Drosophila melanogaster: one gene and its partner. The protein of the gene in region 2 purifies or fractionates together with the protein of the main gene of each other region. This does not show direct contact. Each region holds a gene or a part of one and is shown on either strand. Other genes may lie near its edges.

Region 1 (5,817 bases), on a different chromosome or scaffold from region 2:
AAATATATCGCAATTTAATCGTACTTATTGTGTGGAGCTGTCCCTTTTTAGCACATGCTCTCCTTATGGCTGACTTGAGATATTGCTTTGCAGCACTTGATGGTGTGACCAGCTGTGTTTTGATGACAGTGCTGCCCATAAAAACGTTTGTGGGCGGCAATTTTGAATGGCTAGCAAAGTGCCTTTGCTGCGATAAGATAAGCAAACAATAAACAAAGTGATTTCTTTTCAATTTAATTTGCACACTTAAACTTTTGCGTTGCGAATGGTATCATAAGTACTACCTTTTACGCCTTCAATTTAAAATAAATAAATGCTTTTGTTACTAATAGCAAAGAATAAAAAAAAACACCCACTCATTGCTAAAGCTCATTTCATTTTTAAAAGATAAGGACTCATTGTTCGGTGAACAAAAGAAAAAGCAGTATAAAATAACTTCTTCCTGTCACTTATCGCTGAATCATCTAAGCGTGATATACGTGATTGCAAACTGAAAACGAAGAACAATCCAAATAAACAAACACCCTTTGCATGTGTATTTTTGTGGTTTTTGTTTATTTAATAATAGATTAATTACCGTACACTTAACCGAGAGAGTCCTATTCGTAACCATACACACTAAATATGCACAGAATTTTGTTGCATCGTGAATAAAAAAAAAAATAGTGAATTCATTGAAATATTAGCAAAGTAACAAAGTAAAGTACAAAGCATTCGCACGGATCAATTACAGCAATGGAAATTAAATGGCCCAGAAAGGGTGTGAATAGATCTGTTTTTTGTGGGGAAAGTTGGTTGGTTGGTTGTTTCGTTAATGGGTAGGACACAAAGCAGAGTTTAATTGAAATACTAACGCGTTTGGAAAATGTATATATATAAAATAATGTTCACATAACAATTGTTTTTGTAGTTTTCGGTTTTTGTGGATTTTTTTTGTTGCCCTGCGTATCAGATCAATTTCAAGTTCTTTTCATGTGGCATTTCCTGCGGTTTTCCTCAATTCGTTTAGCTAACTCGCCGTCCATATTGTAAGCTTGCATGCTAAACACAAAATATATTTTATTTATATATAGATTTCTGTATAGGGGGGGGGCTTCATTCCGATGCATCCCGACCGGAGCAAAGTTAGTTAATTTTGGCCATGCCGTAAACATTCTCATCGGAGTAGGCAATGTACAGGAAATAGTCCTCCTCGTGATGTTCCTATAAAAATACATCGAACGTATGTGATTCGATTGCAAGGCTAATAATAATGGGCATTGTGGTAATTACCTGGTACAGGGAGCCCATGGTAGCCGATGTTGGTGGAATGACGTTGTTCACAAAGAAGAAGAGGGCATCCTCGGGACGCAGGTGGATGCGCTTGCGAATGAGGAAGTAGAACTGACCGACGGTCAGGTCGGAAGGCACCAGGTACTTCTTCTTGTCCAAATCACCGATGCGCGCCTTGGGAGCCTTCTCGACGATGACCTTTGGGTTTAAATAGAAGAAGAAATACAGGAGGTGAGTTGTTGTTGCGGGCTACTTGTGCATGTTAATGTGCGCACATTTCGCACCTGATTACGTGCCCAATAAGGCTCACATATTTGGCTACAAATGGCATTTGCATTGCTGGAAGCAAGTGTGCTCGAATACGTGCTACCTTGGAATATGATAATGCCGAAAACATAAACTATAGTCTTATGAATTCTGATGCTTGCTATCTAGTGTACAAAATACCTTAATATTAATTGAAAACTAATTTGTTTACGAACAACTATACCTGATTGTTATTGGCCTGACTCATATTATATTTAGACAGGAAAATGAGTAATTTCGTAATTTCAGTCAGTAATTTCGTAATGCATTTTGGAATTTCGTAAGTTGGAATGTGTAATTACACACACGTGTGTTTTTGTTCACATATTATTTTTAAGCCAAATTCAATGCATTTTTCAAGGGGTATATGTTTTGTAATATAATTAAGATTTCTAGCACCTGTTTACATTCAAGTTCACCTGTATCATCTGTTTTTTTTTGTTCATTATGCAAAAACACATACACATTTTACAGCATTTTAGCCAAATTGATCACCAAGACGACCAAGTTGGTCATTGAAGTGAGCTTTGTAACGAATCTACTGCATTTCCTTGGCTCTGGAATAATTGCTAGCTGGCCTAGACTAGACGATCCGTTCTAGCCAGGGGCTCATTAGTTAGCCTTAGCCAAATTATTGGCAAACTGGTTTGTCCAATTTTTTTTTTTTGGAACAGGAAGCGGGTGCCAACATAGTGAATACGAAATGGGCAAAAACTGCTTGTCGCGAATGCCACCCCTCTATACACTAGTGTTCTATCGAAATTCGTTATCGTCATTGGCCGAACTCAAGGCACAAGTATGAGATGTGCTAGTACGTATGTATGTACTAAGTATATTCTATAGAATTCGGATATATATGGATATGCTGGTGGTCCGAGCGACCAGCTGGCCTTGCCCCTCGCTCAGCTGTTATGTGATTTGTGATTTGGCACTGCTGCACTTGCCAAAAAAAAAAAACACTAAAATAACACTGGCAATAATATTTCGGGGGTGCATATATAGCGCACATATGTACATATTTGTACATATATACATATGCATATGCAGTCCGAATCAAAATCGAAAACAAGAACTGCACTTTTCGCTGCGATTGGGGCACCTTCAGCAGTTTGTCGTTTCGTTTCGTTTGGTTTTGTTTTGGTTTTTGTGAAAGGAGTTTTCGCTGATAACGTGGTGAAATGCATACATACATAGCAGAAAAACAACAAAGAAGAAGCAGAAGATGTTTTTGTTTTTTTCAACCTTTCTGTTTTCCATTTTTTTTATTATTTTTGTTTTGTGTTCAGCAGCGCATCTATGACTAATTCCAGTCGCACTTTGTGTATTTGCGAAAAACAAAACAAGCAGCGCTAGTATAAGTGTGTATTAGTGAGTATTAGTGACTTTTTTTATGCGCAGTACTCGCTCGTTTTGCCAACAAACAAACGAAATTAAAATCGAAAACAACTGGTTGGTGCACACACAGAAAAAAAACGGGGTGGTCAAAACTTTGCTTGTAACTAAATTATGATGACAGATAGATATATGCGATTTTCTTGCTGTGTAGCCAGAGGGTGGGATAGAGGAGAGGAAGAGGTGGCACAGATGAAATCTAGCACTGAAAACAACAACATCACAACAGCTGAGCAAGTGAAACGGCTGCTTTGTTCTCTCCCTTTTTTTGCTTTTGTTTTTTCCTGTCGACATCTGTGTGCCTGTGTGCGCGTGTATGCGTGCGTATGTGTGTATGCAGGGGGCAGAATTTTCGTTTGAATTTCTTTTGAGAGCTTGTCGCCTGTTCCCCCCACCAGTAATGCAAAATGCACTTTATGCAATACCCATCGCACAAATTTCCCCAGCCACCTGATGTGCCAGTGCAATAATATTGTAATAACAATCGAAATACCCAATATGCGCAGTATTGATTTTCTTCGGTGCAAACACAAAAAAAAAGAGCGAGAAAAAAAACGACGCAAAACAAACGCATACACAGAAGCTCGCACATACACACACACTCGCACGCATATATACACACACACACACGTCTCTTTATACCTATATGCATTTATATATATATTTTTGAGTACTTACGGGCACACGGTCTGGATATTTGCGACGGATCTTGTCGCCCTCGGCGCGACGCTTCTCGAAGGCGTGCTCCTCCTTGTATTGGAACTTCATGATTGCAATGAAGAGGTAATTGGCTAAGAAACGCAGCTTCTATCACTTCGTTTGCTTTTGGGACTGTGCCGAATATCGATGCGTTGCTGAGCTTGTGTTTTTCTCTTCTCTGTTTTCTCGTACAAACGGTACGAAATACTTGTGTAGAGTGACCGTGCGCAGCAGTTGACAGAGCGCTTCGGTCTAAAAATCGATGACTTGCTGGTTTTATCGATAAGCACTCGCACTGTGGTGACTGCACTCGCTAACTGCTGTGGCTAGACTGACCGTGTGTGACCAGTGAGCGCGCAGAGACACCAACCCGAAACGCGCTAATAGTGGTGGCATATTAGACAGACACCATTTGGTTCATGTATTCGCTAAATGTTATCGGATGCAACCATGTGGTTCATGTGCTCGCTAGCAGACGGCTGTCGATATGGTTGTTGTACGCGTTAAATGGTATACACACCTACGGTCACACTGCACATATAACAGTTTTTCGCCGCAATAGAAGAATCCCTATTGTGCCATCGATATTATCGATATCACTAACTGTCATCGATGGATTGACGCAGCAGGCGAGACGAAACGTTAATTGTCAACTGTTCCCTCTGGCTGCTTACACACATAAATACACATCGCACGGAAGAAAAACAAAAAAGAGAAGGATGAGCAGCCAGGGACACCATAAGATGTCCGGCGGCGGCAAGAAGGGCGCCATGGAGCAGGACTACACCGACGTGGTCGATCTGGGCGATCGCTTCTCAGCGGACATGGCGCGCCTCTGCATGAACGAACAGTACGCGGACGTGGAGTTCATCGTCGAGGAGGAGCGCATACCCGCCCACCGCGTCATACTCGCGGCACGCAGCGAATACTTCCGGGCGCTGCTGTACGGCGGCATGGCGGAGACCACACAGCGCCAAATACCGCTTGAGGTGCCGCTGGAAGCGTTCAAGGTGCTGCTGCGCTACATTTACTCGGGCACACTGCTGCTGTCCACATTGGACGAGGATTCCACCATCGATGTGCTGGGCATGGCCAATCAGTATGGTTTCCAGGATCTGGAGATGGCCATATCGAATTATTTACGCCAGTATCTGGCCTTGGACAATGTCTGCATGATTCTTGATGCGGCGCGTCTATACAATCTAGAGGAACTCACCGAGGTTTGCCTAATGTTCATGGATCGCAATGCCGGCGACCTGCTGCTGCACAACAGCTTCAATACGCTATCCAAGGTAAGTTCACAACCAATTGGTAAAGTTGGCACTAAGAGTATGTAATGCTTACAGGAATCGCTGGAGGAGGTACTACGGCGTGACTGCTTCTTCGCCCCCGAGGTGCAGATCTTTTTGGCCGTGTGGAAGTGGAGCCGCTTCAATAGCAACGTGGACTTCAAGTCCGTGGTTAGTTATGTCCGCCTGCCACTGATGAACCTCGAGCATCTGCTGCAGGTGGTGCGTCCCTCGGGCATCCTGGATCCCGACAAGATTCTCGACGCCATCGACGAGCGCAGCACTTCAAAGGCGCTGCCCTACAGGGCGGCGCTCTGGCCGGAGGAAAACGTGGCCGCGGAGACGTTTTTGTCGCGCTGCATCCAGGGAGAGTGTCGCGACGCGCTGCTGGATGGAGATGTGACCACCTATGACATGGAGAACGGGTATACGCGCCACTGCATTACGGACAGCAAAGATGCGGGCATTGTGGTCGAATTGGGCACGTTCTGCATGATCAATCACATTCGCATGCTGCTCTGGGACAGAGACAGCCGGGCGTACTCCTACTACGTTGAGGTGTCCGGCGACCAGCAGCATTGGGATCGCGTGGTCGACTACAGCGACTACCACTGCCGCTCCTGGCAATACTTATACTTCGAAGCACGACCCGTCAGATTCATTCGACTGGTGGGCACCCAGAACACTGTAAACCGGGTAAGTCAGCAGTGATCTCTTCAAACTTTCCCCATTCTTTAACTTTTTCCCTTTCCATTAATATATAGGTATTCCATGTTGTGGGTCTGGAAGCCATGCACACGGCCAAGGTGCCGCGTTTAGTTAACCATTTTGTGGCGCCCAAGACGAACGTGGCCACCGT
Region 2 (5,499 bases):
GTTTTCTTGGTCTTCCAGTCTCCAGTTGTGGTCCAGGTGGGCTCGCCTTCACAGCGGCCGAGAACTTGGAATCATTCAACGCACGCCATTGGAGCACATCGGTCCTGCGGTCTTTTCGCTTGGGCAACATCATGTGCAAGTTCACCAACCGGCTGTTTGTGTTCGCCCTGCTGCTTGTGGCACTTGGAAGAATTCTGGCCCAGCCCGTTGGCGGCAAGACTAGGCCAGGGAATTCGAGGAACGTGATCAGCGACTTGCTGGACGTCTTATACGACGACTATTCCGAGAATGGTTTTCAGCGCGAGGACATTCTATACGACCAACGGCAAAAGGGTGGGGAGAACTATCAGTTCAAAGTGGATGGGGTCGTCATCGGAATGGCGCCTCAAATGAGCTCCAGCTTGCTCTACTCCATGGCAGAGTCCTACTTGAGTGAGTACTACTGTAATAGAATCGAATTGCCGACATAACACTAATTCCACGCCAGGTGAAATGTTGTTGCGCCAATCTACACCGGATCCAGATTCAACTCAGATGTACGAGAGGGATCCTGAGACCGACACAGACTCTGGTTCCACCGAGGGCGTAACTAAGATTCCTGAGCTAGCCCAGATTAATTTGGAAAGCAGACAACATCAAATTGTAGCTTCTCAAACTGCCAGCCGGTTAGTACAGCACTAATATGTAATTCTGCTTAGAAACTAATTAAAAGATGGTTTTTGCTCAGATCTCCAACTCAACTGCTCCAATTGCTTAAGATGCTCAAAAGTTCTAAGGCCTAAAATGATATCTTTAGATACTATGACAAGAAATTAGTCCTAAGTTCTTGGAAAATACATAGCAAATAAAATCATTCTTCGAATTTAAATTTCCGTTGATCCCATTGGTGCTGTTCCACTGAACAATATTTAAAAAGTTCAAAATCACTGTACAGTACTTGGTATTTTAAACATCCATCACTTTTCCATTCAAAATATATAAATATTGAAAAGCATGACATACGATGTTTTTTTTTTTTTATTTTAACTTAGTGTGTCAACTATCTTTATAAAAAAAATTAAAATTTTCTGGGAATCCAATAGAAAGCTCAGTCTGGAGATGAATCCTCGAAAGCGGAGCTAATTTGCAAGCAAGACTCGGCATCCAATAGTGGATATCTGCAGATCGTCCGATTTGAGAACTCCGAAATCATATGCTTTTCATTCCTATTTTCTTTAGATCCCGGACAATTGATTTCTGTTTTTTTTCTGTTTTGATTTTCATCATCGATTGATTAATTTCCATGAGGACATTGTTTTCAAAGCTTTTAAGACCGCGAATAAATCCAGTCTCATTCAGTAAAGATTCGTGAAGGCAATTTCGTGTGATATCAAGATATATATGTATATTCGGAAATAATGTTCACGTGAACCTCGCGATTTGGAAGTTCAATCCTTTGAAGGATTGAATGATTAGGACGCCATCCTTTATATGTTTTAGATATAAATATCACCCTTCACCTTCTCCAGTTTGATACCTATCAATATTACTAGGGAATGCATTACGACGGAATTCAAAACATCTTGAAAAACCTCCAATTACCCCAGTTCAGATTGACCGTTTTATTGCCTCCCATTTTTATAGTTCCGAAGAAAATTACGAACGCAGAGGCATCATTTTAGATTACCTAGATTGCCAAGTTTCATAAAACAAAACCATCTTTAGATTAGGTTTTCAATATTTCGGGTTTGCTGATTTCGATATCGATAAGAAACTGACGTATGTATGTGTGAAGTTTTAATGGGTAAAAATATCGATATTCTGGCGAAATTTTATGTAAAGCAAAATGTGAATGTAAAAATACTAAAAGTGGTGAGTTCGATAGAGCCGCGTAAAAATATTTTCATTATCGATAACCGAAGTATTATTAATCTTTGCCAAAGACCAGCTTTGGCATTACAATACAATTTTGGGGATAGATTAACTAGTGCAGCCCAGCAGGCAGCACCGTGATTTGCAACAATTTGAGCCTCACTCATTCAAGAACCTTCCAGCAACTAGTTCGCCTAGTATATATACCTGCTCTCACCCAGCTGCACTTGTATACACAATCGAACGGCCGAACAAAAACTACGCAGTAGTCGAGAGCTCCAAATTAATAGAATCCGTCACATAAATTCGCCGCAACAAGTTAAACGAGAATAAAAGCGTCAGCATCGATATATATACATACATATATTCAAAAGTCTGTCGAAACTACAGAATACGTTGCGAAAATGCCGGAGAAGCTGTTGAAAATCACCTACCAGGGCGCTGGACCCCAGAAAAAGATAAATGCATACCTGCGGATGCCCTCCCAGAATTACACCATATTGCGTCGCGAAATCGAGCTGTATCTTTTCCAGGAGCGCCAGTTACCCAAATGCGACGTAAGGACCTTCTGGATCGGTGAGTTTTACAATGAAAATGCCGCAGAGTGAATGTTTGCTATACATACAAACAGTTATTCGCAATTGCAATCGAGTCGCAAAGATTGCAACATATGTGCATGGTATAAGTACATTCGTTTCCATACATAACTGCATCCGTCCGAGCAGTGCTGACCATTTAGCTTTTAAGTCTCGTTACTTAAAAACCAGCCCAAATTATTGCGTACTTTGCCCAACAAAGCAGGGATTCACCTAGATAGTATTCCTGCTCAATGCTTATCATTGGCAAAATTGTGTTGACACATTAGCTGATAAATATGTACATATATATTTTTATGGTACAAACGTGGTCAACATATTAGATGCACTGTTTCATAAATGGCACACATACAAAACATTTTTGATTTTACATATTTCTGAATTCTCGAATTATACATATATATTTTAAATACATCTAACGCGCTTTTTAATTTGTAAAGTATGTGTACATGTACTCATATACATTTACATAGATCAAACGGGTTGTGCTGGTACAACCACAACTGTAGCTAATTTGTCTAACTAGAGCCCTCAGTGATTCACCTTTGATAACAAAACTTCACTGATTCATAATTGATTTTATTTTCCTTTGCCTATTCTAACTTTTGCAGACGCTGATAAAGATGAAATCGAAATAGTCAACCAAAATGACTATGAGATTTTCCTGGCCAAGTGCGAGAGCAATATGCACGTTCAGGTGGCTCCACTGGCGCCCGTAGAGGAGCCAAAGGCCACCAAGCAAGAGGGTTCTTCGGCCAACGCTGAAGCTCCTTCTGTCGACGATCCGAGCAATTTCACCATCCACGACGCCGTTGAATGCGATGGCTGCGGCTTGGCTCCCTTGATTGGGTTCCGCTACAAGTGCGTTCAGTGCAGCAACTATGATCTTTGCCAGAAATGCGAGTTGGCTCACAAGCATCCTGAGCACTTGATGCTACGCATGCCGACCAACAATGGACCCGGTATGGTCGATGCCTGGTTCACAGGTCCAGGATTGGGACGCCGCAGTGGCCGGCGCTCCAGGGGACATTGCCCGTTTCAGGAGACGAACCAGGCAGATCCTGCTGGCGAACCCGCAAGGGATAGTCGCCGTGAACGGCGTCAGGCCCGCCGCCATGCCGGAGTCTTGACTCAGTTTGTCGAGATGATGACCAACTTGCCGCTGAACACAACAACGGCCACGGCACCAGCCGAACCGCAGAAACCGAAGGCTGCAGAACAAACTGAAAGTCCTCCACAAGCTGAGCCCACTGTTACCGCTGAAAAGGCAGCTGAATCCGAGGCCAAACCAACTGAGCCGAAGAAGGTTAACACTGATCAAAGTGTCCCTAGAACCGAAGATCCAGTGACGACTCCACGTTCCACTCAGCCAACTACTCCAGTGATTAATCTGGATAACATTTCGCAGATTGTGCCACCCGAGTACATGAGTGCTGGCATCGAAATCCTTAATAACTTCAGCGAAATGTTTTCCAAGATTATCGATACCACTGAGGGCGGTGATTCGGGAATTTTTGCGCCCTCAACGACTCCCAGTGCTGAGAATAAGAAACCAGAAGAGCAGGGTCAATCCAGTGGCCAGTCGGGGGCATCCTCGGCCAACCAGTCAGCTGTTCCCTCTGCCGCTCCATCGGCTAATCAGTCTAATGTCCCATCTGCTAACCAGTCGGCCACTCCATCAATTTCTGGTTCGATCCCTGATGCTCAGCTTGAGACAGAGCCCCTGAATCCTAAGCCATCGGAAACCACCACCGAAACAGAGCAGGAAAGACGCCGTTCAGACAGCTTGGATCCAGAGTGGCAGCTTATTGACAATGCATACTCTGCAAACAATAGTAACTTGATCAATCTGGACACAACCAATCCCACTGCTGCTCCTCAGGAGCCGGTGCGTGATTTTGGTCAGCTGGGCGAACTATTGCGTCAGCACATGAATGAGGAGGCTCGCGTGGAGCAGGCTTCGGCCAACACCCAGACTGCTCAAGTTGATACGGTGAGTACATCGACCTCGACCACATCGGTGACCACCAATAGCGTCGGCACCTCCCCAGCAGCTCCCGACGACAAGCGCACGGTCCCCGTCTACCACACTGGTAAGTGCCGAATTAAATAACTAATCGCTTTGTATTAATTATGTCTCCTAATTAGATGAAAGCATCAATAAATCGATCCATGCCATGATGGCCATGGGTTTCAGCAACGAGGGCGCCTGGCTAACCCAGCTCCTAGAGTCGGTTCAGGGCAATATCTCAGCTGCCTTGGACGTAATGAACGTATCGCAGAACCGCAACTAAATATTCATATTCAATATCGATATATCTACAATGTATCTTCAATATCTATAGAACCCAATGAAAAAGGGATTTTACTTTATCGTATCAGTTTACTACGTAGCTTAGTTTTTCTGTGGTGCTAGATTTATCTCGTAGCCAAAATAAATGTGAAAATAGATATATGTTATGTTTTAAATAATCAACAAAATGTTATCGTATATATATGTATGTGTGAAATTGCAATAAAGGCACAAAGTAAAATGATTTAAAATGCCTGCTTTATACCTGATATGGTTTTGTTTAGTAGAGTACGATTGACAGACAACAAAAGCCTCCTCCACTTAGATAATGTGTTTATACGTATGGTATAAATCGATTCTGGTTTTTCAGAGTTCAAATCCGCAAAGCACTCGAATTATTTCTTGAGTGATACACAAATCCACAATACTGTGTTTCGGAATTCGATTCGTTTCCTGTAGTATTGATATTCCAGTGTGAACACTACTCGCTTGTCGAAAGAGCCTCAAAGATCTTCTCTAGCTTCTGCTGCATCTGATCCAATAAAATAGTCTGTCGCCAAGCCGGCAACATCTCGCACAAATCTCCGGAGTTCGTAATTTGCAGTCGTAATGGTGGCAATAAATGTGAAAAATTTGAAGAGCTTCTGGTGGTGTGCCTTCCACTGTCGCCGACCGAATCCCGTGTTATATCCGAACATTTGAGATACCATCAGAACGAGGAATCCGGACAATCCGAAAAATCGATGAAGCATTTTCAAG

What was found.
Region 1: the proteins of ref(2)P (region 2) and Atg8a purify together in Drosophila melanogaster (affinity purification with western blotting; 2 studies listed by BioGRID). This does not show direct contact.

What each region holds. Positions count from the first base shown.
Region 1 is NC_004354.4:10,764,333-10,770,149, forward strand, and holds Atg8a (Autophagy-related 8a), read right to left. Parts: upstream 4,007-5,817; 5' UTR 3,739-4,006; coding exon 3,649-3,738; intron 2,975-3,648; exon of another isoform or gene 2,836-2,974; coding exon of another isoform or gene 2,821-2,835; intron 2,325-2,820; exon of another isoform or gene 2,046-2,324; coding exon of another isoform or gene 1,998-2,045; intron 1,471-1,997; coding exon 1,273-1,470; intron 1,204-1,272; coding exon 1,126-1,203; 3' UTR 546-1,125; downstream 1-545. Other genes in the region: BTBD9 (BTB (POZ) domain containing 9), read left to right, coding at 4,389-4,961, 5,016-5,654, 5,723-5,817.
Region 2 is NT_033779.5:19,540,562-19,546,060, forward strand, and holds ref(2)P (refractory to sigma P), read left to right. Parts: upstream 1-1,906; 5' UTR 1,907-2,255; coding exon 2,256-2,427; intron 2,428-3,058; coding exon 3,059-4,540; intron 4,541-4,595; coding exon 4,596-4,741; 3' UTR 4,742-4,987; downstream 4,988-5,499. Other genes in the region: CG13081 (uncharacterized protein), read left to right, coding at 132-432, 488-665, 728-782; CG10337 (uncharacterized protein), read right to left, coding at 5,244-5,499.